Linked DNA regions of Lonchura striata. The protein of the gene in region 2 purifies or fractionates together with the protein of the main gene of each other region. This does not show direct contact. Links are inferred from orthologs where the notes say so. Each region holds a gene or a part of one and is shown on either strand. Other genes may lie near its edges.

Region 1 (16,525 bases), on a different chromosome or scaffold from region 2:
TCAGTCCCATGCCAGTTTGAACTGGCAGCAGGCATGGGCCTTGTGCCTGCACTGATTGGGACCAGCACCAACCCAGGGGCTCCCACCGGCCTCAGCAACCACACGTAGGGACTGAAACCAGCAGCCACCAGCATCCAGCTGAGTGGTGGCAGGTCAGGGGATCCTGCAAGATCCCAGGAGGTTCCCGGGAGGTACTGCAGGGTCCCCCCAGCACGTCCAGCCTGGGTGACACAGGCAGGGGTGAGCCCCTCCAGTGTGCAGCCATCTGTGCACGCGTGTGCACATCACACGCGAGGGGCATGCGTGTGCCCTGAACAGGGGGAGCGCCGGTGCCCGTTCCCATCTCGGGGTGATCATTGCCCAGCAGGAACCACGGCTCAGTGGTCAGAGGCCACGGGCAGCCCCAGGGCAGGGGTTGGCCGGCACGGGAAGCTGGGGTGTCTGGCCAGGGGTTGTGCCGCCCCACGGGTCAGTGGCTGAGGGCTGGCCACGGCCGGGCCATCGCGTCACGGGGACGCTAGTGACAAGGGCTTGCAGATGGCACCGGGTACGGGGGGAAGTGGCCAGGGTGCCCCAGCCCTGCTGCATGGCTGCCCCTGCGTCACCCGGCCAGAGTCCGTCCTGTGTCCCCATGGGCCCTGTGTCCCAGGCCACGTGCAGCACTGGGTGCACAGAGCCACAGCACAGCCCGGGCTGGGCCTGGGGGCTAAGGAGGGACGTGTACCTGGAGCCTGGGGACCCCTTGCCACTCTCAGCTCGCCAAAGCATTAGCAGGGGATGACCCCATGCCTTTCCCCTGTCCCCACTCCGCATTCCTGTAACCACTGGGTGTCCCAGTCTGCCCTAGGTGTGTGAAGTGAGGAAGAAACTGGCAGGAGTCTGGATGAAGCTGCTAGGATCCATGTTCTGGGCCCCCAGATCCCATAACCCTGTATCCCAAAGCTGAGAAGGGATCCAGGTGTGTCTACACCCCTGCAGGGGTGGGGGCAGGTCTGGGGAGCAGTGCTGGGCATAGAGGGTGAAGGAACGGGTACGTGGGGTGCAGCGCTGAGTGTGTGGGATGCACCAGACATGGGGCACGGCACAAAGTGTGCAGGTGTGTGGCCAAGTGTGGAAGGGTATGGCAGTGAGCCTTGCAGAGGGTACAGAGCCTTGCACATGGGGAGCAGCATTGATCACAGAGCTGAATGGATGGGGCGCAGGGCCACGGATATCCTGGGAAGGAGCAGGCCCTTCGAGATGCCCCCAGGACACTGCAGGATCCCAGCACTGGGAGGGGATCCTTAGACCTTTGTCAGCTTCACTGCTACAGTGATCCCCACCCCTGAGCAGTGGGACTGTGACACTGGAGGCACTTAAAGCAGTGAGGCAGCATCTGGGAGCTGCTGGGAAACGCCCCGGGAAACACTCCAGCCTGTAGCCGTCTCACCTACAAACTACATCCCCCCGCCCCAGTAACACCAGTAAGTCTGTAACTCCTGCACTGGGTGCCTTTGATGGATGCTGAGTGTGTCCTGAAGTCCACCTGCTTGGCATCACCACTCCCAGTCCTGGTGCTGGCTTTGACCTGCAGGTCCCTGCACGTGCCCTGGTGTTCAGCAGCATCACTGGGCATCCCAACACTCATTGGCACACTCTGGACCTCTTAAGTGTCACCAGCACTCCGAAACCCCCAGCACCGAAGCTGTTGGTGTCTCTGCCTACCTGGGCTCCACTCCTGACTGATCCTCTTATTTCATGTTGTCCTACTCGGTTGTTAATTGGTAATAAATTAAAATTAATTTTCCTGAGTCAAGTGTTTTGCCCATGACTTAACTATTGAGTGATCTCTCTCTTCTAACCTCACCCTAAAAGTTGTTTCACTGCTCTCACCCCTGCCACACGTGCCTACATGGCCCCTCTCTGTGTCACCAACTGGGCACCGTAAGTGTGGTCATGTTCCATGAGAACTTACACGATGCAGATTCATGAATAGTTTGGTTTGTTGGAGCAACAGAAAAGCAGGTTCAGAATAAATGCACGAAGCACTGAGTGTTAATATGTCATGACAAAAGGTATAGAACAGAATAAAGCATTCCGGGGTCTGTGTGTTGCTGGAGGCTGGGAAGCACCCAGAAGCACTCTGGACAGCAGCCAGACACAAGGGTCCTGTGGCAGAGCTCCACAGGGACACCTGCACAGGCAGCCCACCTTTTCCTGGTGTTCCAGTAAGCTGGGATGGAAAAAGCCCTGTCAAGGTCAGCCCCAGCTCACTCATCCAGCTCCTTTCCTTGCCATGCATTTCCCCAGGAGATCCTGCCCAAGCATATGAAACAATCTCACCTGCATGGGAGACCTCTTCCACTCACTGTGTGCTGGTGGATCACTGGCAAAGGTATTAGTGAAAACAAACCTGAATCACATTGTGGGTAAGGTTGAAAGCGACAACAGTGGGATCATCTGGTCCCACCTCCCTCCTCAAGCAAGGTCATCTGCAGCACATTGCACAGAATTGTGTCCAGACAGTCCTGGAATATCACAAGTGGGTGAGATCCACAACCTGGGCAACCTGTTCCAGTGCGTGGTCACCTGCATAGAGAGGTTCTTTCTCATGTTCAGGTGGAATTAATGTGAATTTGCAAAAACACAACAAAAGGTCATGTCCAGGGTCACTGTATTGCTTACAGCATGGATAATACATGTAGTGAAAATCAAATTAGAATCAATTTGAATCAGTAGCATCATGGGGCTCCCCGCACCCCCCTCAGTACCCAGGGGACCCCTAGGCCCTGCAGTGGGCACCCATGTGAGTTTGCTTCCAGTACAACACAATTGATTTTGCTGCTGGTCTTTATTTAAAAATACAAATATTCTCCAAATATTCTGCTGGGTTCTGGCTGGCTGGCTCAGGCACCTGCGAGGTGCCTGTGGACAGAGGAAGCTGCTAAAGTGTGGCAGGCTGGGTGTGAGGGTGTGGAGCAGTGCTGGGCACCCCGTGGGCCGTGGGCACCACTGGGGAGCTCTGGGCAGAGCACCGAGTGCCAGCTGACAGCACCACAGTGACTTACTGGGCACCCAGAGCTCCAAACACCTCATGCCACCCAATACTGCTTCGGCAGCTCCCCTCCGCCCCGCCAACTCACTTTCTCCTCTTCCTCCACACATGGAACACACAACACAGCACCATTCCCAGCAGCATTGAGCCAAGGACCGCCACGATGCCTTCAATGCAGAACTTCTGGAAAGAATTAGCATCCACAGCGTCTGTGTTTGCCCTGCCCAGCACCGTGTTTGGGTCTGCCCTGCTATCCGCAGCGGTCGGCTCTGCCCCGGTGCTCCCAGCACTGGCAGATCTCCTGCTGACAGCGCTGTTGAGGTTCAGGCTGTTCACACCTGGAGGACCAATTGTGCACGTTAGCATGTCCTGCACACATCTGGCAATCTCGCTGGAGGGCTGGCATTGCCAAGAAATGTTCTTTCTCACTTCACTAGCAGCTCTGAACAAGGGAATATCCTGTGGTAACATTTCCACGGCTTCAGTAGAAACCAAGGGAACTCCCAAAGGCCTTGCAAGTCCCCACTCTCTGGACCCTCTCTCTCCTCTCAGATTTGCTTACACTTTGGAGTAGCCTTAATCCAGTTCTTCCAGTGTCTGCCTTTGCTCCCTGCTCCTGGGGATTCTTCCCATGCGCCCACAATTTCTGTTGTGCTCTGGCCAGGGATGATCTGACTGGGCAAACACAGTCCCCCAGGACTCAGCTGGAGACACAACTGGCAGTACGGACTCTGGACCACCCTTGCAGCTCAGCATGACAGGGAGAGTCCCTCAGTGAGGGTCTGGTGTGTGTGGGGGGGGTGCTATGGTGTGCCCCTACATGCACCTGAAACCTCAGCTGCCCGATTGTGTTGGGCAGGGGTGACCTGTACCCACCTCCTAGTATCATCCTCAGCTTCCTCAGGATTTCATGTAGCAGTTTGGATGTCTCCACAGAAGATTGTCCCCTTTCATCTTGATACTCTGGACCTTGATGCAAAGAATAAAGTTGCATTTTGCCCCCAGCAAACCCTGGAAGCAGCCCTCAGGCCATGCAGTCGGTCAGGACTGACGAATGACTCCTAAAGTGCCAGGGGAGTTCCAGTGCAGAGTCCAGCCCAGAAGTTGGGAAAGCCCTGCCTGTGCCCACAGCTGCAACCAGACCACACAAGGAGCTCCTCTCATACCCTGGAGCACCATCGGTCCTGACAGAACAACAGAACAGGGAAGAGGCTCACGGAAGAACACAGCACACCCAGGCTTTGCTCCCTGTCCCTAGGGATCCTTCACATTTGTCCACAACTCCTCTTGCACTTGCCCATCTTTCCCTTTCAGGGCTCAGCAGGTGCTGCCCTGGATGGAGACTGATGCTGAAGGATACAGCTGTCCCCACGGACAGGACCCCGGGGGCTGGACAGAGAGCTTGGAGGGAGCACAACTGTCTGACCAGCCAGCCCTTGGAGTCAGGTGGACAAAACCCATTCCTGTGTCAAGGTGAGCCACCTGCAGCTCTCCCTCCCCAGCCCATCACCCACACCCCCAAGGGGATACAGTCAGGCCCTCTGGGGAGATACCTGAACTTCCCTCTCCCTTGCTGCCTTTTCTGCAGTACGGACAGCATTTGCCTGCCCCCAGTTTTCAGGACTTGTCTCCCACTTACAACCCGTGGCAGGACTGCTCCGTGCCTGGATAATTTTGAAAGCATTCCTATATCCTGGACGAGGGCCTTCCCCAGGGTTGGCCAGCACTGACAGGGATCAGGGAAAAGTAAACGCTCAGCATGGCTCAGGCACAGAGTTTGCAGGAGGATGATGTAGGGTGCCCCTCAGCCATGCCGATCTGAGAGTGCACCCCTCTGGAGCCTGGTTCTGAGGAGGGATCGCCCCTTGTTGTGTCAGGGCCTCCAGGGTCTCACAGCAAGGCCTGGCATGCAGGTGCTGGGGCAGGGACATTAAATCCAGAGTCACATTTCCCATAATTTGCTGAGGGCTGCCCAGGTGGCCTCATTTCCAAAAGAACTAAGTTCTGAAATCCCTGAGAAGGGAGTGTGAGAGCTGGTGAGCATCCTGTTGCATCCACAGAGTGTCTGAGCGTGTGTGCCTGGGACAGGAACAGCAAGAGCCTGCAGCCCAGAGGTGACAGTCACCGCAGAGCTGCTGCTGGCACTGGCAGCTTGGCACGGGGCAGAGCCTGCAGCCAGCCGGGGCTGAGCGGCCAAAGGACAGCGACGACCCACACACCTGAGTGAAAGGCCCCGGTGCTTTGCCCAGGGCCTGGCACCGCCTGACCGCCTTCCTGAAGCGCCTCCTCCTGCGCCGCCATACGCTCCAGAGCTTGGGAGAGAAAGAGTGCCAGGTGAATTGCCAGTCACAAAGAGTGCCAGGTGAATTGCCAGTCACAAAAAGTGCCAGGTGAATTGCAACTCAGAAAGAGTGCCAGGTGAATTGCCAGTCACAAAAAGTGCCAGGTGAATTGCCAGTCACAAAGAGTGCCAGGTGAATTCCGAGTCACAAACAGTGTCTGGTGAATTCCGAGTCACTGCTGCTCCTCAGATCTGTCAGAGCTGCGTGCTGGCCCTGGCCTGCCCACCTACCCATGGCCTGTGCTTGCCACGGAGCAGCCCCAGCGTGTCGGGCTGGCAGGGCCACCAGGAGCAGGGTGAGAGTCAGGGCCCAGCGTGCCTGCACCATGATGCAGCTGCTGCTGCTGCAGCCCGCAACGCCCGACCTGCACTGCGCATCTGCAGGGCTGGGCTCTGCAGCTCCACAGGCACTTTGTGACCTCATGGGGCCTTCTACCAGCAACGTTCTGCCATCTCCAGGGTGGGCACAAGTGTTCCCCAGCTGCTGGTGACCGGTCAAGCAGAGCTACCAGATTCAGCCCTTCCCCAGTGTGGAAACCCAGGGCACCGGGACGATTCCACCAGGAATGTTTCTCTGGCTGCTCTGGGGTGTCCTGACCCCCAGGGCAGCACTGACTTTGACCCTCACTCATGGAGAAAACTTCCAAAGCCTCAAGGTTAACCAGAAACCACAAAAGTGTGAAATAGATTGTAGAGAGTAGTGGAGTATGTCACACGGGTGAGAATCTTAGCTTTTAGGACTTTTAATATGTTATAGATGGGTTCAAGATGGAGGATATAGGGTGTTGTCTCGAGTTCATTTTACTTCCTTCCTCTTCCTTCATCTTCTTGGGTTTAGGTGGTATCTTGTAATTGGGTAGAAAAATCCACATTTTGAATTGGAAAATGTGGATCTTTAGGGCTCAGTTATTGGGTTGGAAAGGAAAATCATTTATGTGTCACTTCTTAATTGGGTAGCTTAGTTTTTGATTAGACTTAAAAGGCCTTGTAACAAGAGATCGTTGGCCATTTTTGTGCTGTTTTTTGTGCATGCAGAGTGTGGTGCAGACAGCGTGCTGAAGTTTTGATAAGATAACAGTAAACAGAAGCTGAAGAACCAAAAAAGTCCAATGCATCCCTCCTGACACAGAACTGCTCCAGGTGGGTCTCCCCTGCCAGGGGAGCCCAGGGAGTTGCCCAAGTTGGGGCTCACAAACTCACAGCCCAGCACACACAGGGTTCTCTGGAGAGCTGCTCTAGTAAACTCTGCAGAGACCACCTGGGACTTTACAGAGCAAATCCCAGTGCTCCTGGAAGTGCATGATGGCATCAGGCAGCTGCTGGTGTGGACCTGCCCTGAACTTGGACCAAACACTTCCTGGAGTTCCCCTGGAGGAGTCAAGTCAGGAGCTGGGGATTATCTCAAAGCCTTTGTGCCCCACATCATCCTCAACAAGGACTGTCAGCTGGCACATGGAGCTGTTCGCTTACTTTGCCCCTCATGGAGTAAGGAGCATCCTCAGGAAAGCAAATAGAACTTGTGGGCTGAGATAAAAAACATTTAATAATTGAAATACAGTAAAATAATAATAACAAATTTTAAAAAAGGAGGGAGAGAACACCCAAGAAAACAAGTGATGCACATTACAACTGCTCCCCAATGCCACAGCAGCCCCCAAACCCCTGTGAGCCCTTTGTTCCGGGTACTCCCTCACACTGGGCACAGGGCACGCCTTGGCCAGTTCAGCTGTGCCAGCCGTTCTTTAGGGCACCTCCTCCCTGGCACAGCACCGAGACACAGAAAATTCCTTGGCTCAGGGCAAGCAGCGCCGTGGGGCCACCTCTCCTGTCTCCTGCGGGATTTGCTGCCCATCCCACAGGCCCAGAGCACCACTGCAGGGCTGCCCTGGCCACCAGCACCCCCCGTGCCTGGCACAGGGCCGGGGGACATGGGCAGCGCCCGGCACGGCCCCGGGAGCGGCCCCGGGAGCGGCCCCGGGAGCGGCCCCGGGAGCGGCCCCGGCACGGCCCCGGGAGCGGCCCCGGGAGCGGCAGCGGCGGCGGGGCTCGGGCGCCTCCTGCAGGCCCCGAGCGGCACCTGCAGCCGCGCCCCCCGCGCGGGCAGAGCCGGGAACGGCGAGGGGAGGGGGAGCCGGAGGCACGGGGGACACGGAGAGCGCGGGCAGCGGGGCACCGGGGACATGGCGCCGCGGGGTTCGGGCGTCCGCTGCTGCTCGGGGCGGCGGGAGGTCCCAGCGGTGCCACCGGGGGACCGGGAGCGCCTCGGAACCCGCAGCGGGCGGGAGGGGCCTGCCGGGCGGGCGGAACAGAAGCGCGCCGGGCGGGTTCCGGGCGGACCGGAAGCGCGGCCGATCCCGTTGCCGTGACAGCGGGCCCGGGCCGCCATGGAGGCCGCGCTCACTGACATGTACGACCAGGCGCTGCTGGGCATCCTGCAGCACGTCGGCAACGTCGAGGAGTTCCTGCGCATCCTCTTCGGCTTCCTCTACCGCAAGACCGACTTCTACCGGCTGCTCCTGCGGCCCGGGGACCGCCTGGGCTTCCCGCCCGGCGCGGCGCAGGCCATGGCCCTGCAGGTACCAGCGGGGCGCGACGCGGCCGGGCCTTGCTGCCGCGGGCCGAGCGAACGGGCCGTGTCTTCCCGGCTGCGCGGTGCTCGTGTCGGGCCGGCGGCGGGGTTCGTGCGGGCAGGGCGGGGGTCGGCGTTGCCCGGAGGAGCGCAGAGCAAGGCAGGAGAGGTGCCTTGAAGCGGGGGAAAGCGTCGCCCTCGTAAGAAGACGGGAAGCCCCCGAGGCAGGCGAGGACTGCGAGACCCCGGTGGGAAGAGCCGGGTTCGACATCAGCTCGGACGTTGGCCCGAGCTTGGGTTCGTGTCTGGTGTACCCTGAAGAGTTTTTGGTATGGGCAGAGTGAAGGAGATGCAGCGTTCCTGCCGTGGGAAGGGGTTAGTGTGGCCTCCTGGCTGCAACCAGAGGTTCCCCGAGTGTGGGGACGGTGTGCAAGGGGCTCATTCCTCCTCATCCTTGCCCAGCTGCAGTCCGGGGGATGCACTTCTGAGCTACTGCTTTGCATGATCCACGCAGGGCTGGTGCTCACCTCTCCCACACCCTCCCCTCTGCTCAGTGCGTGGGGAGGAGAGCTGGAGTGAGTGGCACGAGTGTGTGTCCTGTTGTGATGGTGCTGGCAGGGCCATGTCCTTTGTCCTGCACCTCCTGGACCCAGAGGAAGACTCAAATCGAGCAGGTGTGCCAGTCCGCTGCTGGAAGTACTAAATCTGCCTCCAGAATGTTCCTGGGAAACGAAGGAGGGCATTTTAGAAGGTGTTTACAGTGCCAAAGGCTAGCACTGGGGTGGGAGACCTTGCAGGCCGTTCAGGAGGCAGCTGCAGGGTCTCAGTGGCCATCACCCCTTGCTGCAAGGGCCTCACGTCTGACCTCCAGCCTGCACTGGACAGGCATGGCTGGGAGCCAGGTGAGGGGTAGGGTTACATCTCCTGGATCACATCTGCTCCTGCACCTGTCTGCCTGGACACAGCCAGTGCCAGGTCAGCTGTCCTGCAGCTTCTCTTGGGGCAGCTCATCCTGCTTGCCTCTTGGAGACACTGTCTGAGACCAGGCATGCGAGTGGTCCCTGTGTGAGCCCTGGAATGTGGGGAAAGGGAGGCTTCATTGGAGCTCCCTCCCAGCCGAGGGCTGAATCTCACCACTCTGCTTCTCCCTGGAGTAACCAGCCCTCTTGCCAGGCTAGGGTGAGGTTGGCTCTGAGAATACAATCCTAGAAACAATTCCAAAATGCTGCCAGGAGTTTCTGAGGTGTGCTTGATGTAGCCATTGGAGTTTTCAAAGAGTCATCAGCTGTTTGTTTTGGTGACTGAAGCAGCTCGGGGTAGGTATGTGGTGCAGAGAGGAAAGAGCAGGTGCCCCAGGCGTGTGGTGCTGCTCATTCCCTTCTCTGGGCAGAGCTGGAGCGCTGCTCACTGGGTTTGCTCTTTCTCTCCCAGGCATTCCGAGTGTTTGAACGGATGGCCAGGCAGGATGATGAGAAGAGGCGCCGGGAGCTGGAGGCGAAGCTGAGGAAGAAGGAGGAGGAGGAGGAGGCAGCTGCAGCCGCTGAGAGGGTGAAGCTGTGTCCTGCAGCTCAGGAGATCGAGGTGGAGACAACGGAGCACATCCCAGCTCCAGAAGCTGGGGAAGCTGAAGGCACCCAGGAAGCAGCTGCAGCCCAGGGTGCTGCAGCCCCCAGCCCAGGGTCAGTGGAGCCTCCAGGGGCTGCTGCCCCAGCAGAGCTGCCCACGTAAGAGTCTCTTACTTTCTTCACACTCCTGGTGGGGGGAGGCAAAACTGTGGACAGGGCATCCTCTGTTCTCTGCACAGCTCTTTTTGGGTTTTGACCTTCCTCTGCAGGCACTCAGCCTTTCGGGAGGCTGTGAGGATTACCCTTGCAGGCTTCCAAGGCCAGAAGCACTGTGTAACTCCCCACAGGAGGGCAGTAGTTGTTGTCCTGTGGGTGGATCAGCGTTTCCCACTCTGGTCTGAGCAGAGGAGGTGGCATATCCTGTACATGGCCCTACAAAGCTGGGCTGGGCCATGCAGCTCATCCACAAACTGGTTATGGTGTGCATTTTTCCTTTTCTGGCACTTCTAAGGCTCACAAGGAAGTGCTGGCACCAGCCTGCAACCTTTTTGTGAGTGCTGGACTCCCTGGCGTGCTGGGAGACATCCCAGAAGCTGTATGGGAGTGTGCATGGATACCTGCAGTACCTGCAAGTTGGTGCTGGGAGTGTGCACAGATACCTGCGAGTTGGTCTGTGAGTATGCATGAATACCTGCGAGTTGGTCTGTGAGTGTGCATGAATACCTGCAGTACCTGCCAGCTGGTGCTGGCAGGCCTGGCCTGTGACAGGGGTTTGGAGCCCTCTCGAGGTCTCTGACCCAGCCCTTGGCTCAGAGCAGGGCCAGCTTTGAAGATGAAGCTGATTTTTCTCTTTAGCTAGGCGTGGTGGCTTTCCAGCAGTGCCAAGCAGGCTGCATTTGTGCAGAAATGTCATTGAGTCAAAGTCCTTCCACAGCTTCTGGGACACTTCTAGCCTGACTCTGCTGAGCAGCAAGATGCGAGCTGCGGAGGGTCAGCGTGGCCTCTCTGAGCCATGTACTTGAATGCAGGTCCTGTACAGGCTTCACTCGTCCTTCCCTGGCATCACCTTGACCCTGAGCCAAGTCAGAGCTGCCCAGCCCTTACTCAGGGCCCTCATGCCTCACTGAGGTTCAGACTCCCGTGTTTCTTTGCTGACCAAGCTGGGGGAGTGGTGCTGTGAGCTGGCTGTGCAGGCTCCATCTCCTCCCGTGCCCGGTGTGTTCTGTGCTCAGGCCCCGTGTGACGGCTGTGCCGACCCTCTCCGATCACCACAATGGTCCTGACCAGATGTGGGGCTTTGCTGCGCCTCATCCCTGCTGTCCCACTGGTGCTTGGTGAGGAGGGAAGCTGGAGCTGGTGATCCCTGTCCTCCCAGCCAGTTTTGGAGGTGTCATTGGGAAGAGCAAGCTGCCAGAAAGAAGTGGACCACTGAAAGAACCCCAAATCCTGTAAGGACTGGGATGGCTGATGCCCCTGAGGGGCAGAGAGAATTCAGAGCTCAGATTTTGGGGCATATTCTGTATGCCTCAGCATATGGGAGGTACAGTCTGAGAACCAAAATCTTGGGAGGAGCAAAATGATAAATGGCAGGAGCAGAGAGGTTTGGTTCTTTCCTCAGGAGATGGCTGGGCACTCAAACAGGCTCTGTGGTCGTGGCTTCAAGGCTGCCAGAGGTCAAGGAGCATTTGGACAATGCTCTCGAGCAAATGGTGGGATTGTTGAGGTTGCCCTGTGCAAGGCCAGGAGTTGGACTTGATGATGCTCGTGAGTGCCTTCCAGCTCAGAATATTCCGTGATTCCATTATTCTAGGACAACGGTGGAGTCAGGTTCTTGGCTGGAGGCCGTGTTGGAGAAGAGCCTGAGCTCTGGCTGTGCTGGGGAAGAGCCTTAGATTGGCCACCACTGGGGAGGGGGAAGGGGGACCGGCAAGGACTTACGTGTAACTGGTGTGCATCCCACGCGGTAAAGATAAGCCAGGAGCCAAAAATGAAATCATCTGCAATGCCTGTCTTGGAGCTCTCTTGGTAAAGGTGGGGCTGCCAGTCTGACCCCGATCCCTGGGCAAAATTAGCAAGTCAAAGAAAACCCCTGCTAGAGTGCACAGCAGGGGCCTGGGTCTGTCCAGCCCAGCTGTCTCCCAGTGGAGAAGAGAGGGAGAGATTGGAGGCCCATGAAGCCGTGAGCAGAGGGATCTGGGCTCGGCTGAGTGCCAGTTGCTCATATCCCCATGGAGGCCACGTTTGCTGTGGTTTGCCCCATGAAGTTTCACCTCAGGACTTTGGTTATGGGGCAGCAGCTGGTGTGAGGAGAGTTCAGCTGCCTGAAACAAATGTCAGCGCTGCGGGAAGGAAACTGGAGGGATCAGGAAGGAAGGTGGGGGGCTCGTGTGGGAGCAGGATCAGTCTGACAGCGAGTGTGGTGGAGCTGAGAGGAATGGTTTCCACTGTGTGTGGTGAGAACCTGATTAGAACTCAACCCTTGCATGTGCCACCCTCTGTGTCCTGGCACTGCTGGAGCTTGGCCCCTGTCAAACCTCAGACACTCAGATGCTGTTTTGCAGCCTGCAGCTGTGGCACTGAGCACCAAGCACTGCATGGCAGCTGTCCTCTGGGTGTTGCCGTGAATAGAAGGTGCCTTCTGCTGCATATAGCTGCCACTGCAACTTCTGCCCTCCCCAGTGGGCTCTTCTGCCTCTTCTCTTGCTGCTCCCACCGCCCCAAACTCACTGGTGGGGTGGAACAGCTGCAGCCGCCTTGGTGCCTGCCCAGTTTAAACACGTGGTGGGTGAGACCGGGTGCAGGAGGCTCCGTCCCAGCCGCATGAGTCTCGTGGTTTCCAGCCAGGGGAATGGGGTGGCTGCGGGCTGGAAGTGGGGCAGGTTTGGCCCGGGTTCGTCAAGGCGCTGCAGTTGGTTTCCGAGCCTGTGGGGGGCACTGGAGCCCCCAGGAAGGCAGCGGGGGCCGGGCGGGCACCCCCCGACAGACTATTAATAATTTAACCAACTGCTTAATTCTCCACAGCCCCTTCCTTCTGAGTAAAACCCGGAGCTACCAGCCTGAGTACGAGGGGCGCATGAGTAATGCACAACTCTGGCAGCAGGAATGCAGAAAAGAGCTTAAACAAAAATATTTTCCATCTCCCCTTCCTTCTCCCCGCCCCTCCAGCCGCTGGTGAAGAAAACCGCTGCCACTAAAATCTATATAAAAACTTGCTCATTCTGTCAACCTGACGGCTCTGGAAATGTAGGGCAGGTACCATCCCAGATCTGCCAGCTCCCATCAGAGCCTCGCGCTGCACCCGGATGCTGGGGTATTGGTTGGGAACATCTTACAAAGCACAGTGAGATGGTAGCAGCTTTTCGAGGGTTGATCCAGATGAATCAAGCCAGTTTTGCAGATGTGGAGGTTTTCAGGGCTCAATTTGGGGCTTGGCCAGGTCTCTCCAACTCCCTCACCTTCCCCACTTGTGAAAGGCAGGTGAATCAATTCCTCTTTGCTGCCCTGCATCTTGCTGTGCCAGATCTCCCAGCAGCAGCTGGTCTAAACACACCGAGGACGGAGGTGGCTTTGGAGTGACACTCATGCCAGGAGCTGTGCCAAGGGGGACAGAGGTCTCTGTGCCACAGAAGAAGCCAGGCTCCTCTTGCAGCTGCCCCAGTTGTTCCAGCTGTCCCTCCCCAGTGGTTGCAGCTATCTTGCTGTCCCTGCCTTGCCAGGAGGGTAGCAGGCCACAGCCCTCCTCACACTTCACCACGGGGCTGTTCTTCCTCGCGGTGCAGCTGCACAGTCCCAGCTCTGGCTCTTCCCCCATCTGCTCCCAGAAGCCATCCTTGCCTGAGCTCAGCTCCTAATTTTGAACACCTCTGCTGCCCAGCACCCTCCCCTTCCCCCAGCTTGGATTCCATCCTGCATATATTTGCCACACAGCATTTAAAATAGAGCCTGGCAGCCCACGTGTGGCACTGCGCAGCCCGGCCTGTGCTTGTGCTTTATGACTTTGGTTCCTGGCTTCCCTCTGCTCCTTGCTTTCTCCCAGTGTGAACTGGGGGGGAAGCTCTCATCCCCCTGTCCTGTGAGTCCCGTCTCTTACTCCATGCATGGGCAAGAGATAGTGCAGGAGGCTGGGAAAGGCAGTCCTGAAGCCTGTGCATGATGGTGAATGTCTCACCTTCATGTGTTTCTCCATCCAGCTCTTGTGTCTCTCCCAGGTGCTCCAGCCATGTGTGCTCAGCTCTGGTCTGTACCTTAGAGATCATCTAGGCAGGTGAGGTCTCTGAGAGGAGGATCTTTGGGTGTGGACGGCACAGCCAGGGCTGGAAGCAGGGCCACTGGGGCATGGAACAGCGTGCCAGGTGGACCCAGGAGGATGGGCAAGTGCCTCATGCCTGAGGAAGCCTTTGGCTGCTGCTGGGCAACATGCAGAGCAGAATGAAACCTGGGGTCTCTGTGGCCATTCACCTTCTGTGGTGGGGAGAGAAAAGAGGCAGCAAGAGGAGTGGGCTGAGGTGAGGAGGGGGCTCTTCATGGCTCCCCACTTTGTGGGGCCTTGAAGGAGACCCTTGAGGTGTTCTGGAGTCTGTGAGTGGGGAAGGGGCTCTGCTCACCCTGTGCACACAGTGCCGTTGTGCCAAGGAAGGGGGCAGACGGGCTGCTGCCGAGCAGCAGAGCCCTGGCCACGCTGCCTGCCCTGGTCACCTGGTCCAGGTGAGCCCTGCCAGCAGGCCGGTCTCCCTGGCATTGCTCTGCTGTCCCTGGGAGGGGGTGTTGGGGCTCAGCAGTGACCTACAAAAATCCGTGGTGTGCTCCCTGGCTTGGTGAGAAGCTGACTGGGATTGAACTAGAATGCATTAATCTGGTGAGATGACTCCTAACATTCCAACTTTCCTGAGACCCACCATTCCCGGAGCCCCCACGACCTGGAGTTAACCCTTTGTGAGATGCACTGGGAGCATCCCTGGGATGACACAGCAGTGCTCTGGGAAATTTCCATGAGGCGCCTGTGTGAATCTAACTCAACTTAGCAACGGCTTGGCTTTGCTGGAAGCCCAGATGGCATTTTGTTGTGAGGTGCCTGCAGGATGGGCTTCCTGGCATGGCTGAATCCTCCTTGAGGTGCCGGGGACAGGAATTTCACTGCTGGTCACCCTCTTGTTGGGGAGTAGAGCTATGAAGAGGAGCTGTTGCTGCACGCTGCTAACTTCAAGGTTGACTCAGAGACTACATTGTCCCAAGCTTTCTCCTCTCATGCCTTTTCCATTCGGAAGGGAGGGGAACCCTTAGGTGCTCAGCAGTTTTGTCTGGGACTGTCCAGACCAGAAGCCAGTTAAACTGGTTTCCTTCCCCACTGCCCCTACGGATTTTCCTGATGAGCTCACCTCAGAGTCCGTGCTGTTCTTCCAGCCTGACCTAGAAAGGAGATGATCTTGATCCATATTTAAGGAGAATCTGTCCTGGTTCCGATTCCTCTTATGCACGTGGGGCTGTGCACAGGGAATTCCTCCAGCACGGCCAAGGCCTGTCATGAGCAAGAGTCAGGCAGAGCTCAGAGAACGGCCTGACCTGATACAGCCAAGCTCCATCTGGCCACATATCCTGTCTCCATCAGCAGCAGATGCTGGGGGAAGAGGAAGAGAACAGAATGAGCGGTGCAGTGATGCTTTCTCTGTGCCTTCATCCTACCCTGATTAAATAGTGGCTCAGTGGTTTCTAAACACTTGGTCCTTCAGCCCTTTGTGGGGATTATTTTCCCTTTCTGAATTTCAGCCCTCCCATGCTGGGGGACTCTGCAACAGCATCCTGCAGCAGGTCCCATGCTGCACTGCCATGTGGGGCTGCTTTCTCCATGTGGGTGAAGAGGCATTGAGTAGGTCCCCAGTCCCCTTCTCTGCCCTCTGTGGGGTTCTTCTCTTATGTCCATTTTCTCCTTTCAGTCTGTTTCTGGGCTGAAGGGTCATCATTTCCATGCTTGTTTCTCACTTGAGCATCCCCTACATGATTGTCCAGTGTTCTGAGTGTTATCCCCATGTTTGTGTGTGGACCCACTGGTGTTCTCTGCCTCCTACCCTGTTTCTTTTCTCCTTGCCTGTCCTGCTTTTGCAGCGAGGCCAGGAAATCCTCTTCCAGCCACATGGTACCTCTCACAGTAAAGTGACGTCACTCCAACCCCTTTCCCTGCCTTCCCAGCTCTCCTCAGCACTGGCAGCTTTTTCAGATGGGAGCAAAAGCTTCACAGGAGCTCTGTGTTGGTGAGACCTTCTTCTGCTGGCACGCCCCAGCATGTCCTTGGCTCCTTATGTGGCACTAAGGCTTTTGGCCCTCAGGGTCTGCAGCGCTGCACTCGCAGTGCTGTTGTGTTTGGTTTCTGGGAGGAATGTGTCTAGGTAATACCAAGGGAAGCAGGGAAATGCAACTTAAGTCATCTTTGCTAAGTGGAGTCTTTCTTGCAATGGAGAGGAGCCACTCAGGCTGGGAGAATTATTTTAATCCATATGCTTTCTCCCATGGTTTTGGGAACTTAACTGCTCAGGAAGCATCCTTTCAAAGGGCTGAAACACTTGGGCTGAGGGATTTCACTTTCTGGTGCAGCCCTTGTCACTCAAGCCTTTTGCAGATGATGAGGAACAGTCAGGGTCCAATTTTCCAGTGCTCTCATGGAGAACCAGGCCCCTCCAGTTGGGTAGCTGAGAACAGCAGCAGAGTGCCAGTTTCTGTGTGCTGCACTGAACTGCTAAGGCTTTTGGTTGCTCTACCAAGGTACTGAGCTCCAAAATTAGGTCCTGGGACCAAAAATAACTAAATTAAAACCTATAAATTTTTCTCTCAACAAGCAGAAAATCCCAGGGCTGGAAACCAAGGGACAGCATGTGCCCAATTTTTAGGTAAAAAAGCAATCGCTGTTTGCTTGGTTTAATATTGCAGTGTCCACCAAAAGGGGCCTAACATGGAAAACTACCTGGATTGGGCCAGGTTATGTTGGTGGTGCAGGGGTCTGAGAGGCCACCTGTGTGTCCTCTACT
Region 2 (16,204 bases):
TTTAGAGATCCATGACATTTCCAGCATTTTTCTTTCAGGATGCTCTAGTGGACTCTAATTTAGTCACACTTCCCTCTACTGCAACTGCTGTAAAGGAGAAAGATGGAAGCATCTATTGCCAACCTGAAATACTATGTGAAGGTCAGATAGATCCTTTAAATATCTGATGCTACACCAGTTTTGTATTAGTACAGGATTCCAAGTCTGATATTACTATGGCTTGCAAATCTACTTGCTAAAAGTGTAATTTGAATTAAATAAGTCTGTTATGAGTAGTACTTCAAGTTTAGCTGCATTTTATAAAGATTGCCTTTGAAAGAGTATTTTTAACCTTTGATCAGGGCATAATAACAGGAATATGCAAATACAAAATTACCTGAGGTAAAAGTAATTTCTTAGAATAGTAGCCTCCAATTCTATCCCAGTTATTCACATCATGTATTTATAAAGAAAGAAAAAAACCCAAACCAGAAAAACCCTCATAAATTCCAGTGTAATGAATCCCTAAGAATAAAAAATTGTTGCCTTTTAAACTAACAGCCTGGCTTACTTGTGTTAGTAACCATCTTCAGATTCTTACAAATTCAGACATTCCAAGTCTATACAACACTTTTATTAAGTAATTCCAAGTTTTTTTACAGGCAAAATGTCCTGAAGATTGGTGTGTCCATATAGATGTTAATTTGGGGTTTTCTCTTGTCTTGTTCCTAAGTCTTGAATTTTATTTTACACAGGGATAGAACTGCCTCGCATCAACTATGACTACAATGGCAAAAAATACAAGTATATCTTTGCAACACAAGTCCAGTGGAGTCCAGTTCCTACAGAGGTATGCTTAACATTTATAAAGTCAGTGTTTTCCCATTGCTGGGCCATTCACATGCAAAGGAACATGAAATGCCTAATTTATCATAAGAATAAGTTCATGTTGTACCATTTTCCTCATAAAGTTTTCATAAACTCAGGCTTCTTACTCCAGCTTTATGTTCCATGAAAGTCTCTTGAATAGCTACGAAGACCCTTACTTTTCTGCTAAATTGGGCTGAACCTTCTGTGATGTGCCAGGAACTACAAAGGAGAGAGTAGGAAAAATAAGTATTATTTACATGTATATATTTAGTATTTTTTCCCTTTAGGAAGCCTAGCAGAAAAATAAGATATTGTAATACTACCTAATAAATTTTAACTATTAAAGCAATATCTATTTTGGGGAAACTTTATATTTTGTTGGCTAGTTCTCTCTTAGAGGTAGTAAATGCTTTGTTTACATGTGCATGATGCCAGAAGACAGCCTGAAATACAAACAGATTAACAGGGAAAGTATTTAATTAAGATTTAAATATTAAATAAAATTAAGGTAATTTAAAGATTTAAATGTATGAGTATTATATGAGCAAGCTCATGCTCTACAATTCTTGTTCTGTGACTACAAGGCAGCACAAATTGCAGTCACTGTTGGTTCTTGCATATAATTACCACAACTGATTACAAAATAGAGCTGGATTTCTGCATGATGCAAGAAAATTTATTGCAGCACATCTGACAAAAACAAATCTGCAAGCTCATTTGCAGTGTAGATAATCTCTGCTTGACTCAAATATAATAAAAAATAATGGTAGGAGGATCTTTTTTCACATCAGTTGCAGTTTAATGAATGCAAGCCCAACAACCTAATCCTTAGGTAAAGTCTGTCAGTGAAAGTGCTGTCATCTTGGCTAGAGGAAAGAATTCTTTCTAATTCTTCCTCCAATCATTTGAATAGTTTCACTTTTGTGTAAACGTATTTTTTGGCTAAAGATCAAAATGGAAAAGAATAGAACTGCATCTCTATGGGTAGAGAAAAGGCCTTAATGGAATTGAACTGCAAATGCCAGGCATCCCCTCTGGCCATTGGTTTGGCCACTCAGTGGGATGAAAATCCACACTCTGTTCCTTCAGTGAACACCAGTGTCTGCCTCACTGCTTTGATATTTACACCTCACTAGGAACAGCCTTTCTTCTGCCATATGTACCCTACTGCACAATAGAAGGCCTTGAGGAATATGGAAGTAGCAATAAAAAGAGAATAATTCACAGGATTAGAAAATGGCAAGTTTAAATCCTGTTTCCTGCTCTACTACATAATCTCAGTGATTTGGAACAAGTCACTTAAATACTCAGTGTCTTGGACTCTCTGCAATGAGGGCCATTACTTATAGTGAAGGGTCTTTTGTGGCCTGTTAGCATTTATGAACTATTAAACACCTGTAAATGAAAGGTGCAATTGTAATCTAATGAAATGAAATTAAAAGAACATTGTGTGATTATGCAGCCATAAAATGTGACTCCAAAATTTAACATTTTCATTGTGTTTTTTCTTGTGATGATACCTGCCTTAACTCTTAGCATTGGTCCTCCCTGTCAGCAGTCTGTTCTTGTTGTACCTTTGGGAAAAGCCACTGTCAGGGTCACTGACATTTTTTGTTTCTTGTTACAACCATGTAGATTGCAAAATTTAATACCCAGACAAAGGAAATGGTCCAGTGGAGAGAGGATGACTGCTGGCCATCCGAGCCTGTTTTTGTTCCCAACCCCGATGGAAAAGAAGAGGACGATGGTAAAATAATGACAACCAACATTCTGAAAGCTGGGGTTACATGAGTTTTGTATTAAATCTTACAAGTTTCAAGATTCTTAGTCAAGAAGATTGGGTTGATGCTTCCTCTTTGATATGAGGTTATCTTTTCTGCTTAGTGAAATTTTTCTATGTTTCTAATTATTCATTTGTATGTCACAGGTGTTGTTCTGACCTGTGTTGTGAAGTCTGATCCAAAGGATCCACCCTTCCTACTTATCTTGGATGCTAAAACTTTCTCAGAGCTGGGTCGAGCCATAGTAAATGTGGACATGCATATGGACCTGCATGGAATATTTATACCACAGCAAGACATGAAAACTGAGACTGAGTAAAATCTATTTGTTGCATTGCACTTCTGAATGTGGGATAATGTCCTTCAGGAACAGCCTTCTCTTATGATAAGAAATTACTAATTATAACCTCCTCAATATCTACATATGGTCTCTTAAAAGAGACAAAAATTACTTTATTACAAATCATTGTGTGCACAACTGGTATATCACTATTCCAAAAGAAGAATTATCAATATGAAGTGCTAATGTTGAATACAGCTTGTGGAGCAAGGGCAATAAATGTTTTATTTGAGTAGAACAAAGCTTTCTGAGCAAAAGAAGTACTGTATTCATAGGGTGACACAGGGCATGAGTTACACATGTCTGCAGGTCATGTAACTTCCATGGGCTGTTGAAAGACTGCAGCTGACAATGAAAGTTGTCTCCTGCCAGAAAACCTCATGTTAAACTGGTAAAACCTTGGTATCATGGTGACCATGATACCAATAATTCATGGCAATATATTCTCTTGGTGCTTGATTTCTTAAACTCTGCCATAACCAAAGTATTATGCTGAGGTGCTATATTTTTCTTATCCAGAACCTAACCCTTCCCCCAGCTTTTCTAATAGTTTCATGGTGTATTTTTCACTTTTACGTTGACAAAACCAAGTAACTTTATTGAAAAAGAGTACATGGTTATATGCAGCATTCAATCATACTTTAGTGACATTCAACCTTAAGCAGTTTGTATTTAAATCAGTTTTCCTTGGGCAGAATATCTGCCATTGCATTTCATGTAATTAGATTATTATACTGTGTAAAAGAGAAGAATTGTAGTATTTGCTACTGCCACTAGTCTCTGTTAATAGCAGTATGTATGTGAATGTGAGCAGTGTATTTCTAGCAGAACTCAGACACACATGCACAACAAACAGTTTAGGAAAGAGTGAAAGATCTAATTTAGGCCTCATCTGAACCCCACAGTAGCAGAAACTAGAAGCTGTTATTGCCATTACTAAGCATTTGCTTTATGTCTGCTTAGGAGTATCCATGTTCTCACATGTGTTGATTCTTGCCTGTACCAGATGCTTCCTAATAAAATTGCACAACTTTCACTTACAGCTACAATTAAAATGAACATTTCAACATAAAGTTCAAGTGCCAAGCACAGTGTGATGGGTTCTGTTACAGAAATGGCATTTTTTACCCCCTGATTATATTCCTGATACTGACTTTTCTTTAAGTGCGAGCTTTTTTTGCTTTGAATTTTGTTTTCTCATTGTAGATATCTTTGCTGTTGGAGCATCTTTACTGATGGAGAAAACCAGGTGTATATCCATCCATTTTGGGTGTCCATCTGGTCTGTCTGTATCACCACACAGCTCAGGTACCTCTTTGGCACACATATACCCTCAGTGCCTCAGCTGCTCACAGTATTTCATAGGAAGGAAACAGAATGAAATTATTTTCATTTACTACCTCCCTACCACATGAGAATCTGTGCTTGGTGACCTGTTTGGGATTACCTAAGGTGTTTGTAGCAGAGCAGGAACTGAACCAACATCATCCACAGTTCCTGACTACTCTGTAACAACCAGATCTCTGTTGCTCTGCTTAAGTCTTTGCACTTTGTTAGGATAAAGATATGCAGACTATTTTTAATGCCAAAAAAAAAATCTAACACTGTGGTCAGATCTAGTTAAAATATGCAGGTTTGAGTGTTCAAATGCTTACACATTCCTTAAAATGGAAATAAATATTTCAATAAGGTGTGTCTGCAGAAATAGTCATTTTTAGTGTTTTCAAAGGCTATTACCATTAGTATTTAATAGAAATTTATCTTCTAAAGAAGAAATTTAATTCAATTTTTGTAAATAATATGGAACAAGTACTGGAAGAGAAGATTGACTCATGATATTGGCAAAAGACATCAGCTCTGGCATTGTTTCTTTTCATATGAAAAAGTTTGGATTTAACAAAGGTCACAAATACATTTCTAGAATTACAAGGTGGCAATGCATCAAAAGTCTAACCATTGTTACAGATTTTCTTCTAAGAGTTTGTCTCTAGAATTTCTTCTGTAGTACTCACAGGGTTGTTTTGGGATAATCATAGGTTTGGATAGGAGTTAGTTCACTTATGAGGGGATAATTTTTACTGGTAGAGATGACAGGATAGGAGATATACTCATCATAAAAACAACCTGTAGTCTCAAAAAGCAAATGTGTTATTTACAATCATGTAGAAATAATGCAGAAAATAAATTATAAGAACTTATCTTGGATGTGATTTTTAAATGAGATGTACCCTATTCCCTTGGTCAGTACTTCACAAGATTTGATTAAGTTTGTAGTTAATCTGAGGAGAAAAACAGATGCAAATCTGCATTTGCTAATCCCAGTATCCTCCTGCAGCAGAGACAATAGGAATAAAACCCTACAGCTAATCACAAATTTGTTCAAGGATGTTTTTAGTGGTTGCAATACCAATCTGATGAAACATTTACCCTGAATATGGTAACACACTATCATTTCCAGGCTGACAGAAGCAAGGGGAAATGCTGATATGCTTTACCAAGTGGCTGCAAGGCTCATAGGGGTTTTTTTTGATGTGGTAGCATGGCACGTGGTAATGAGTGTCATTTGGTTTGCTTCTGACACCCTTCACTGTGAATGAATCTAAAGGGTCAGAAAGGTCTGATGCTTCTTTTGCACTAATTTAAGTCATAAATTAGCCCAACAAAATTCATAGAATTTTTATAATAATGGCATAACACAAATCTAGATGAAGTGACTGCAAATAAAAAATAATAAAGACAAGTGTCTCCATTAAAAGAAAAATACATAGTTGAGTGAGAGAATCAGACCACGGGTATGCATATATATAATTAATTACCTCAGAGATGCTACAGATGGACCTTGATAGAGTGGTTTGGTTTGTTGTTGTTTTGGTTTGGTGAGTTTTTTTTGTTGTTAATTCATTCATTAAATGGAACAAATAACAAGGTATAACAATGAATTTGTCCTCTGTAACTGTATATTATCTGTTACACCATGTCCCATTGCCCCATATGGGCAGCAGGAGGAAGCAGAAACAGTGTTTACCAGGACGCGTTAAAAACCAGAAATGCAACAATGTTTTCCTCTGTACCAATCTGTGCAGGTGGCAGGAGAACACACCGGTGTCTTTCTTTTCAAATAACCAGGCCACTCAATGACAGCTTTCGCAATAATTTAAACCACTGCTCCCTTGGGTCTGCAATTACCTGAGTATTAATGACAAGCAAAATACATCTTTCCCCTGCAGCTAAGGAGCAGTGTGCTCTCTGCCTTCATTACCCTCAAAGAGAGCTGAGAATGTGTCCTCTGGATCCTCAGCCTACACCTGACATCCTGGATAATTACACCCAAGCAACAAAAAAGTGGCCTTCTAATATTTGTGAGTATGTATGACAGCAAGTGTTGCAGAGCTGCTGGTGTTTTATGCACATTGCTGTGGGCTTAGGCTTTCTGTCCTACATCCTCTGCTCCTAAAACTCTTGTTCAGAGCTGCACAACAAAGCTGCAGCACGGTGGTCCCCCTGTGACCCCTCTCCAGTCAGGGAGCACTTCAGCAAGGGTTCAGCTCTGAAGCCTGGCTCCAACAGGGCTGAGCACACTCTTCATCAAGGCCCTGGGTGCAGGGTTTGGACTGCTGGGTGATGTGTGAGGATGTCCCGGCTGCAGTCTCCATCTGCACAACAAAGCAGCATTGTGTCCAGCTTGGAAAGAACAAGGCATTCATTTCCTATGGGGTCGTTTCCAGGTACCCAGCTTCATTTTCCGAGTGGTAAAATTTGGAGACACCATCAAACTGAATGAATGATAGAATTTTGTTACATTTCACTGAAATGCAAGTAATAAAAGTAATGTGACCCACCACAGCGTTACTAGATCAGACCCTCTGAAAGTGTTATTTTCCCAGTGAAGGAATGGGCAGCATGACATCCATCTGAATGTTCCAGAGGCTGGGAGATCCCAGTGCTGCTGTGCCTGTCAGCACAGGGAGCACAGGGAGCTGCTGTGCTGGTCCCTCCCAGCAGCACCAGCTGGATGTCTGTTTTAGAGCAGATCACAGTTTGTGAAACACTTTCACTCAGTGCAAATAGTTTCACCACTTTAATGTTGGATGTTGTTAAGAAAGCAGATGGAATCAAGTAGTCTCTTAACGTGCAATTAAGCATGATAATAAATGGCCTAAAATTTACCATGTGAACTGTCCTAAAGATCTTTTTTGCTGGAAAAGGCCACATTTCCAGTGGGAAGTTGTGGAAAGGGACACTGCCACAATGAATCTTGCTGTATTTAATTCTCATTCTCTTACTTTTCCTTGTGTCTACACCTGTAACATTCACCCCAGCTCATATAAGGAAACAAACGAATAAATAAAAGGCCAGTTTTACAGGATCAAAGAATCAATTAGACTGGAAAAGACCTCTGGGATGATCGAGTCCAACCTATGACCAAACACCACCGTGTCACCCAGACCGGGGAGTGCCACTTCCAGTATTTCCTTAGACATCTCCACGGACAGTGGTTTTATCACATCCCTGGGCAGTCCGCTCCGATGTCTGATCACCTTTTCTGGGAAGAAATTTCTCCTAATGTCCAAAATAATCCTCCCCTGGTGCAGCTTAGGGCTATTTCCTCTTGTCCTGCCGCTCGTTGCTGGACGAGAGCCTGACCCCCCCGCGGCTCCAGGATGAGAGCGAGCAGGTCCCCCGGAGCCTTCTCCAGGCTGACCCCCCGGGCTCCCTCCAGCCCCTTCCCCAGCTCCGCTCCCTCCTCCGGACCTCCTTCAGCGCCACTGCAGAGCCGTGCGGAGAGCAAGCCGAGATTTCCGGGCCGCCCCCGCGGGGCGGCGCGGGGAGATGATGCCGGGAGATGATGTCAGCGGCGGGCGGGCGCCCAGCCATGGTGTGAGGGCAGGGACTGAGCCGGCCCGGCCCGGCCCGGCTCGGCGGCGGCGGCAGCACCATGTCGGGCCCGAGCGCCGTGTCGGACCCGCAGCACCCGGCGCGGCTGCTGCGGGCGCTCAGCTCGTTCCGGGAGGAGACGCGGTTCTGCGACGCGCACCTGGTGCTGGAGGGCGAGGAGATCCCGGTGCAGAAGAACATCCTGGCGGCCGCCAGCCCCTACATCAGGTACGGCCGGGCCCGCGGGCCCCGGGCGGCCGCTCGGCGGGGCCGGGCTTATGTAAGGAGCGAGATCGCCGCGTGTGGGCACGGACGGAGCAGCCGGGGCAGGCCGGCGGGGGCCGCGGACCCCGAGCGCAGGGAGGGCGCGGAGTTCCCTCTGCGGGTGTTCAAACCCCGGACACGCGTTCCTGTCACCTGCTCCAGGTGGGAGCTCCTGCCCTGTGCCTGCCTTGGCAGAGGAGCTGCACTGGGGGATCTGAGCTCCCTTCCGACACCAGCTATCCTGCGCTTCTGTGGGAGCAGCTGCTGGGCCCCCTCCTTCCCTCCTTCCCTCCTTCCCTGCCTCCCTCCTTCCCTCCTTCCCTCCTTCCCTCCTTCCCTGCCTCCCTCCTTCCCTCCTTCCCTCCTTCCCTCCTTCCCTCCTTCCCTCCTTCCCTCCTTCTCTCCTTCCCTCCTTCTCTCCTTCCCTCCTTCCCTGCCTCCCTCCTTCCCTCCTTCTCTCCTTCCCTCCTTCCTTCCCTCCTTCCCTCCTTCCTTCCCTCCTTCCCTCCTTCCCTCCTTCCCTGCCTCCCTCCTTCCCTCCTTCCCTCCTTCCCTCCTTCCCTGCCTCCGGCCGGTGCCGCCGGGCCCCTCCGCAGGACCCGTCGTGTTCTCGGCATCACAGCGCTGCTTTTCCAGCTCTGAGAGGCTGTGTCATCCACCAGGGAAAAAAAAATCCCCCCAACAACTTCATTGCTGCCGGGAGCCCGCTGTGAACAAGTGACCCCTGCAGAGTGAACTGTGAGGATGGCGAGGGTGGTGTCCGGCCGAGGGGCAGCATCCCGGGGGCATTGTGAGGTGCTGGGCTCTGTGTGTCCCTCGGCCGCACCGAGTCAGCACTTCAGCATCATTTTTTTCCTCCTTAATGCCTTTTAGCAAGACAGGGCTCCAGGTGGTGATCATGAGGTCTGAAGTACGTTGGCTTCTAAATTGAAAAATAAAAATACAGGTTTGTCTCCCCATCGCGTGTGCCCCCGCAACATCTAAGAACATCGCTTGGAAATTGCCAGAGTGACAAAGCCTGGCCGTGCCAGGATCGCTGGCAGCTCTTGGCAGGGGTGTCACCAGCATGTGCAGTCAGAACTGTGCCACTGACAGCGAGTGCTGGGGAGGACGAGCTGCATTAGCACAGTCATGGTTTCTGAGGTGCCTGGCAAGCAGCTGTGCAGGGAAACCCAGGTCATGGAAAGTCCTGCTGACACCAGTCTGAACCCCATCACACTCAGTGCTGTCAAGTCCAGTGACAGCAGGTGAAAAGAACATACCTCCACGAGATCTCATGGTACATGTCTGCATGTCAGAGCAGGTAAACAAAACATACAAGTGCATAATTTCAAGGTGTTTTTAAGTCCACTCATTTGCAGGTAATAAGGCATTTCTTTTGTCCTCATATGTAAAGTAGAAGCAGACCTTCTGTACCATTTAAAATCGGGATTATCATCAATTGATTGCAGACTTCTTGTACTGTTTGGACACTTCTTCCAGCTGCTGCTTCCTGTGAAGTTGACATAAAGTTTGCATTTTTTTGCTAGGTGAGGATGGGAATTCTTTATGCTACAATCTGAAAAAATGCAACCTTGTGCAGTGTCATAGCGTCTGCTTTTAAACAAGACATTATTTTGGGTGACCATTGTAGTACAACTTTAACATTCTCAAGTACAAAATTAAACTAATAATAAATACAATATGAGGCTGGTGAATAACTTTTAAATAGCAATGGTCATGCACAGACTTAAGTAAACAGTTCTCTGCACCAAGCTAGCAGAACAGATATAAAATGCACATAGAAGGATCATCAAGAATTTGCAAAAAGGACATGGTGGAGCCTATGTACTACTAATAATTTTTTGTCACTGCTTGTCTTGAGAAGCAGGTTTGGAAGACTGTGGTGAAAGAAATCAAAGATGTGAAATAGAAATGAGCCATTGATTCATACTCTTCAAAATGCCTGAAAGCTTCTTAGGTCATTGGGCATCATATTTTAGATGACCATATGCCTGACATTAGGTTTCAGAAGAGTTGCTGCAGGTGGTAAGAGGTCATGTCCTTGGAAAAACTGCTGTTCTACTGCTACAGCAGGATGTGTTTACAGAAAATGTCAATTTTTTTACTGTGAAAAAAAAAATGCTTAACTAAAAGATACTGTAGATTGCCCTATGGAGCCTTTTCACAGAATTTCATCTCTAAGTTTTGCATTTTGTTAATCTTTGAAAAATGTACTGGGGAAACATGGGTTAATTGTCTGTGAGGAATAAGAGCTCCAGACACAACTACACTAGCAACAAAACCTGTAGTCATTAGAGCTGTGGTTTTTTTAAGCTCAGAATTGTTCAGGTTCAAATCTCATGAAGGAACTCATTAACTATGTGTGAAAGTAGGTTACATGCATTAATATATAAATATGATTAAATGTGAGGTTTGTTTTTTTTTTAAGCTTACTCATGTCTTCTCCTCAAGTTTTCAAGATGTAAAGAACTAAAAATACATGTACCTAGTTCTTGTATGGCACATTAGGAAACACATTTGTATTGCCTACCTTTGCAGAGCCTAATTTTTACTTGCTGCCTGTCTCTCTTCTTTTTATCACTCCAGGATCTCTCTCTTAGTCCAGCTGGTCTTCACATTGGGTAGAATTGGTCAGGTAGGTTGCCAATGTTGAAGCATTGTGTTTCCAGCCAAAGAACACAGTGGCTTTTTTTGAAGTTGAAATTAATCTCCACCTTGTACCTAGTCTGTGCAAATCAGTTGAGGCCTCTGTATAAACAGTTATTGTAGGAGACACAAGAATTTCCTGTCACTGTATTTTAAGGGTAGCTGATTCCAAAGCTCTGGTACCACAGGCTGTTACAGTCTCCAAATGCCAATTGATTCAGATTGCTCTCATTTGAAAAATTCCAATATAAAGCTCAGAAAAATCCATTAAGTAATTTCAGAAGTAAAACTTGGAATAAAAATAAGCATGTACGTGAAACTTGAAGTGAAGCAGTGGAAGTATGAGTTGATGTGGTGTTTTCAGTGTCTGGCTGTCTCATTATGTGCTGTGGCTGTGGGCAAGTTGGTGGGCGAGTTCAGAAACTGTAGGGTTTGCATGAATGCCTAGTTTAGGGTGTGAGTAGGAAAATAAGTAGGCATGGACTTTGTGAGGGGGTGGTTGGGTGTGAGCAGTCTGTGTGTGCTGAAGGATTTGTGCAGCCACAGAGAGAGGAGCGTTACCTGTTTTTTAGTTTTGCATGGGAGCTGTTTGGCTGACTGGTTATGAGTAGGACACTTGTAAATTATAGTGATGTGTTTTCCCACTAGTTATTTGGCAACTGGATTATCCATGCAGCTCAAATATAGCAGCTTCAGTGGAGAGAGAAAAAAAGGCATGAAGGGGCACAGAAACATATTGGAAGTCTTATTGGGGTCGTTGTTATATGTCCACCTGTCTGTCTGATCCATAGGGTGGCTTCTGAAAGTACAGAAAAATAAAAAAAGCCTGGTTTATTTTCAAATTTTCAGTCTGTGGGACCAGTAAGAATTTTAATTTTTGTGGTAGTTTGATTCTTGAGGTTTTGCCTCAACTGCTTAATGCCAAGTGGTCTGTAGCTCTCTCAGGCCAGTGAGGTCTGGAGTGGTTGTGTGAATTCCTACAGAATTCTTTTATATGTACAGGTTTATCTAATCCCTCTGTGTGCCCTTGGAGCAAATCCTGCCATTTACAAAGCACAGAAGTCTCCCTGCATATCTCTAACATCTTGTGGTATGTTCCTGAGCCTGAGAAAAGGAGGGCTCCTCAGGAAGAAACCACCACAGGACAAAGTGTGGTTTGGCTCGAGGTGATGCTGCTGTGCATCCCAGAGCAGTTATATTCAAGCCAGGTGAGCTCTTGATTTTCTCTTCTGTAACAAATCAGCCAGAAACCTGCCCTTTTTTTGGTAGCACTCTTTGTCCTTAGTGTAGATCCATTGCCCTGGTTTAATTTATTTAGTTTGAGAGCTTGATGTAAATTACATTGGTGTGAGAGGGCTTTTCCCTGAACAAACCATGCTTGCACTAGTAAGTTTGGCCTGAGTTGTGGCATAGATCCACCAACCTTTTATAGGATAGACTTGGTCCAAGCATTCCTGGTATCCTGAGCAGTAGCAGCAGATGTTCCCATCTGAACAGATCTGTCACTGGCTGGCATGAGTCGTTCCTGGCCAGCTGAAACTTGCACCTCTTTATATTTTGCTCATTTACTGTCTGCTTGCCTGGATCACAGGGAGCACGTGGGAACTACCTCAGCAAAGAGGCTATTTAAGCCCATATTCTTAGACAAATTTAATGTTGTTACACGCAGGGATTGTGCTGCTGCATTACAAATTGAATTAAGACATTTTTGTTATCTCAGCAAGTTTTGTCTTTGATTTTCACGCATCTGCATGAGCAGATTACAGATGGCCGTGTGTGTTCTATACTGTTCCCCAAGGCTTTTCAAACTCAGTAATGGACCAGTAATCATATTTAAATCTTTTTTCAGAGGAGCATAATATAACTAAACAAGAATGTAAATGTGAGGTTAAGTTCACATTATTTTTACGTACTTATAAATAGCTGTACTGCTTGTAAATGGGCTTTGGTCAGAAATAACTTGACAGCCTTTGCATCTTCTCACTTGTCCTGTTCAACCTTCTGACATCTCTAAAACACTGCAGACCTTGTAAGACCCTGCACAGCCACAGCCAATGCTGAAATAGATTTCCATGGAGATGTGGGGGACGTGCCCCCCATGACTGACCTCCTGCCCTTTCCTCTGTGTGCCTGCACTTGGAGCGTTTGCAGTTGTCACGAGGGGAGCCTGCTGAGACTCCATCCCTGTGTGAGCATGTCTGGGAGCATCCATGAGTGCTGGTGTGGGAGCTGGGACAGGATGTCCCCCCTGCACCCTGGAGGTGCCACTGGGTGATTCTTGTTACACCTGTTGGACAATGAATATTGTAGAACAAGGTCAAGTAGGAGCCAACACATGCCAGGAGCTTCTGCTGCTTATTTCCTGGTACCTGTTTGGTCTTCACTGACATTTATAGAGATCTTTTATAGTGTTTTAAAACTTTTCTTCAATTTGGGATAAATATTGAAGTCAGGAACACAAATGGCAGCTGGAGCTGGGAGCTGTTTGGTTGTCAGAACGCCCTGCTCCCAAGTTCTGCTTTAGCCAAATCATGCTGTAATTGTGCCAGGGCTTGTTCCCTCTTCACTGGGTGTGCAGGGCGGTGTTGTGGTAACTGCAGTGTCAAGGAGGGCTCTAAAGCCATTGTTGTCTTCAAGGTTTCTTTTGAGAAGTTTGTTTCTGGCAGTCTCCTGGGAGCTTTGGAGGCTGCCCTGGCAGTAGGAAGTCAGGAACAGATCAGGCCAGAATTTGCTTCCAGACTTTGTTTTTTAAATTTGGCATAGTTTTGTTTTGGTTTTGATTGAAAAAAAAAAATGAACTTGAAATGCTACCTATTATGTTTTAGTGGTAGCTGAGTTGTAAAGTCTCTGTAGCTTTGAGAGGCAATAAATCAAAATAGTTGCCTTGGCCAGAAACTCTGTGCCTGGCACAATTCAGAAGTGCCTACATGCATGTTATGTTTGGATAAGCAGTTGAGGGGCAACTGTGATAAAGGAATGTTAAAAGTTTATGGTTTGAAATGGGATTTAGAAGTCACTATACCAGGCTTGAATGGGGAATTGTTAATTATATTCCTGCTCCAACAAGCCCCTAGAGATCGCCTGAAGGAAAGAAGCCATAAGGCTCTTACCCAGCCCAAAATAGTAAAAAAATACATTTGTGCTGCTGCTACATGTCAGGCAGAGGGAGAACTGGGAATCAGAGCATCTTGTTTACCCAGGAGAACTAGAGATGAAATTTCTTGTCCTTTCTTTGTATCTGGAGACGCGCAGCTCATCTGCGTGCCTGACGTAAGAGGCGAGCTGGGATGGAAGGTGTGGCAGGATGGGGCTGCTTGGGATGTCTGGGTAATTTATACTCTGTAGGTTGCCTTTACACTTGCCTTAATTGCCTTGTTTGGCAAAACTTTTATGATTAAAAGAGCCTTTTTTATTTTTTTTTTTCCCCTTGATTTGTGACTGGAACAGGGCTGATGTGTCTGGAGCTGATGAGTCAGAAATGCTTCACTCGTGTTTTGGTTTTTTTGGTGATGTTCTTTTTTAATTCTTTGAACCTGTTTTGTTTCTGTTGATCTGCAGTTACTAAAGGACCTTTTTCCTGGTGTGGACTGGCAAATATGAGCAATAATTAATGGTTTGAAAAGATTTGTTTCCTCACTCTCTTCAGACTCTTATTCTGAATATTGTACAGAAATTTCTTTCTGTGCTGGTACTGAGTACCAATATAGTGCTACCCTTTGCCTCTTCATATTTCCCATGGCTTAATATGTCCAAAAAACCAAAATAAATCACTGCTTATGCACAGCTCTGAAAGTCCTTGGCCCTATCAAGGAAGTATGTCCTTAATCCCATGAGGTTGGTGGCTGGTTTATGTCTTCAGGCATGTTGGTTTACATCCCCTGGATGATGTGGGCTGCCTGCTGCAGCTCTTGTTTATGGACATGGGGAGTGCTCTGTGTTGGAGGCTTCTGTGCTGATGAAATCCATGTTCCTGCTTTCTTCTTCCTCTTGGCTGTGGCACTGCTTTCTGTGAAAATCTTGCAGATCTGTGTTTTCCAGCTCCGGGCATATCCAGAATTCTGCTGCTTATCTCAGTTGGATTCCAAACTTCTTTCAGCTGTTCCACAACACTAATCATGCACTTAAAATTTTGTCCATTTGACTTCATACTTACCATCAATTATGAAAATCTTTCTCCAGCTCTGTTGCTTATTCCTCCCACGTGCTGTAAGGATAAATGAGGTATAAAAACCTGTTTAATCCAAGTTTTCCCAGCAGATCTATTGGTGTTCGTTATATAATAATATTTACAGGAATATAATTGAATAAAATTAAATAAAATAATATAATTATAATACAGGAATATTTGGGTTATTAGACACATGCTACAGAGCATTATGTTTCTTAAATATATTTAACAGAAAATTTAGCAGCATGGGTACTGTATAACACTGTACTTGTTTCTTCTAAAAATGCATTTTTAACAAGTTTAAAAGTAGAGTTAATCTGAAAGAAGACATATTTCAAGTAAGACAGTTTTCATTTCTTGGCTTAAAACTCTCTTTCAAAAATATCTTTCCTTGGTTTTTTTTGGAACTAGGAAGTCCTGGTTCCAAACTGCTACCTAAAAAGTGTGACACTGCTGGGAATCATCAGTTCAGTGAGTGGACTCGAGTGTCAAGTGGAGCAGAAGAAAACCAAACCCAAACCACCTTTCTAAACCCAGCAGGTGTTTCTGTCACAGATGAACAGCAACTGCTGAACCAGCTGAGCCTGAGCTGTGCTTTGTGCCATGCACAGGGTGCAGAACCACAGGTGCCCAGCAGCAGACCTGCACTGCTTGTGTTTGACTTGTTTTCAAGCTCAGCTGTTGCTGTTGCCTGTTTGATTTCTGTGTTGGCTAAAGAAACCCAAAGTGAAATGAAACATCAGGTCCTTGGTGCTGCTGAGAACTGCCAGGGTCTGTCCTTGGGCACGGTTTGTTGAGTGTGTGTTCTGTCTGCTTAGGGCTAACTCACATGTTTAGGCAAGACACTCTGGTTGAGGGTAGATTTCCAATTTAGATTGCAATCTAGCTCTGGATGAGCTCAGTGTAATCAGGGTAATTTCAGATTTTCATGGTAAACAAGCTCTTCATTGAGCAAAGCCCATGAACCCTATATATGTCCCCTGTGCTGCTGTTGAAGGAATTGCCTTGTTCCTTTTCTTATGGAAAGGGAGAAAACTACATTTTTGTCTGACTTAAACTTTTCAATAGTTGAAAAAATTAAGTTATATGTCATAGTTTTTGTTTCTCTTAAAGCACACAAAGCACCTTGTGCAAGTTTTTGTGCTGAGCTGTTAAATGGACTCCTTTGCCTTGAGATCTGGAGTTAGAGATAATCTTAAGGAGAGAGACATAGGAGAGGCATAGCCAAAATGCTCTGAGAGCTGGCACCCTTTGCAGGGTGTGGTGAAGACTGACTTT

The links.
Region 1: the proteins of GAN (region 2) and NUDCD3 purify together in Homo sapiens (co-immunoprecipitation; 3 studies listed by BioGRID and IntAct, counting the BioPlex papers as one, with this or other methods). This does not show direct contact. The link is inferred for Lonchura striata from reciprocal best matches to the Homo sapiens genes GAN and NUDCD3.

Annotation. Positions count from the first base shown.
Region 1 is NC_134634.1:5,378,996-5,395,520, reverse strand, and holds the start of NUDCD3 (nudC domain-containing protein 3), read left to right. Parts: upstream 1-7,683; 5' UTR 7,684-7,759; coding exon 7,760-7,951; intron 7,952-9,375; coding exon 9,376-9,668; intron 9,669-16,525.
Region 2 is NC_134615.1:19,106,971-19,123,174, forward strand, and holds the start of GAN (gigaxonin), read left to right. Parts: upstream 1-7,814; 5' UTR 7,815-7,906; coding exon 7,907-8,073; intron 8,074-10,737; exon of another isoform or gene 10,738-10,747; intron 10,748-16,204. Other genes in the region: BCO1 (beta,beta-carotene 15,15'-dioxygenase), read left to right, coding at 39-141, 735-829, 2,485-2,596, 2,777-2,949. UniProt on the Homo sapiens protein: Probable cytoskeletal component that directly or indirectly plays an important role in neurofilament architecture.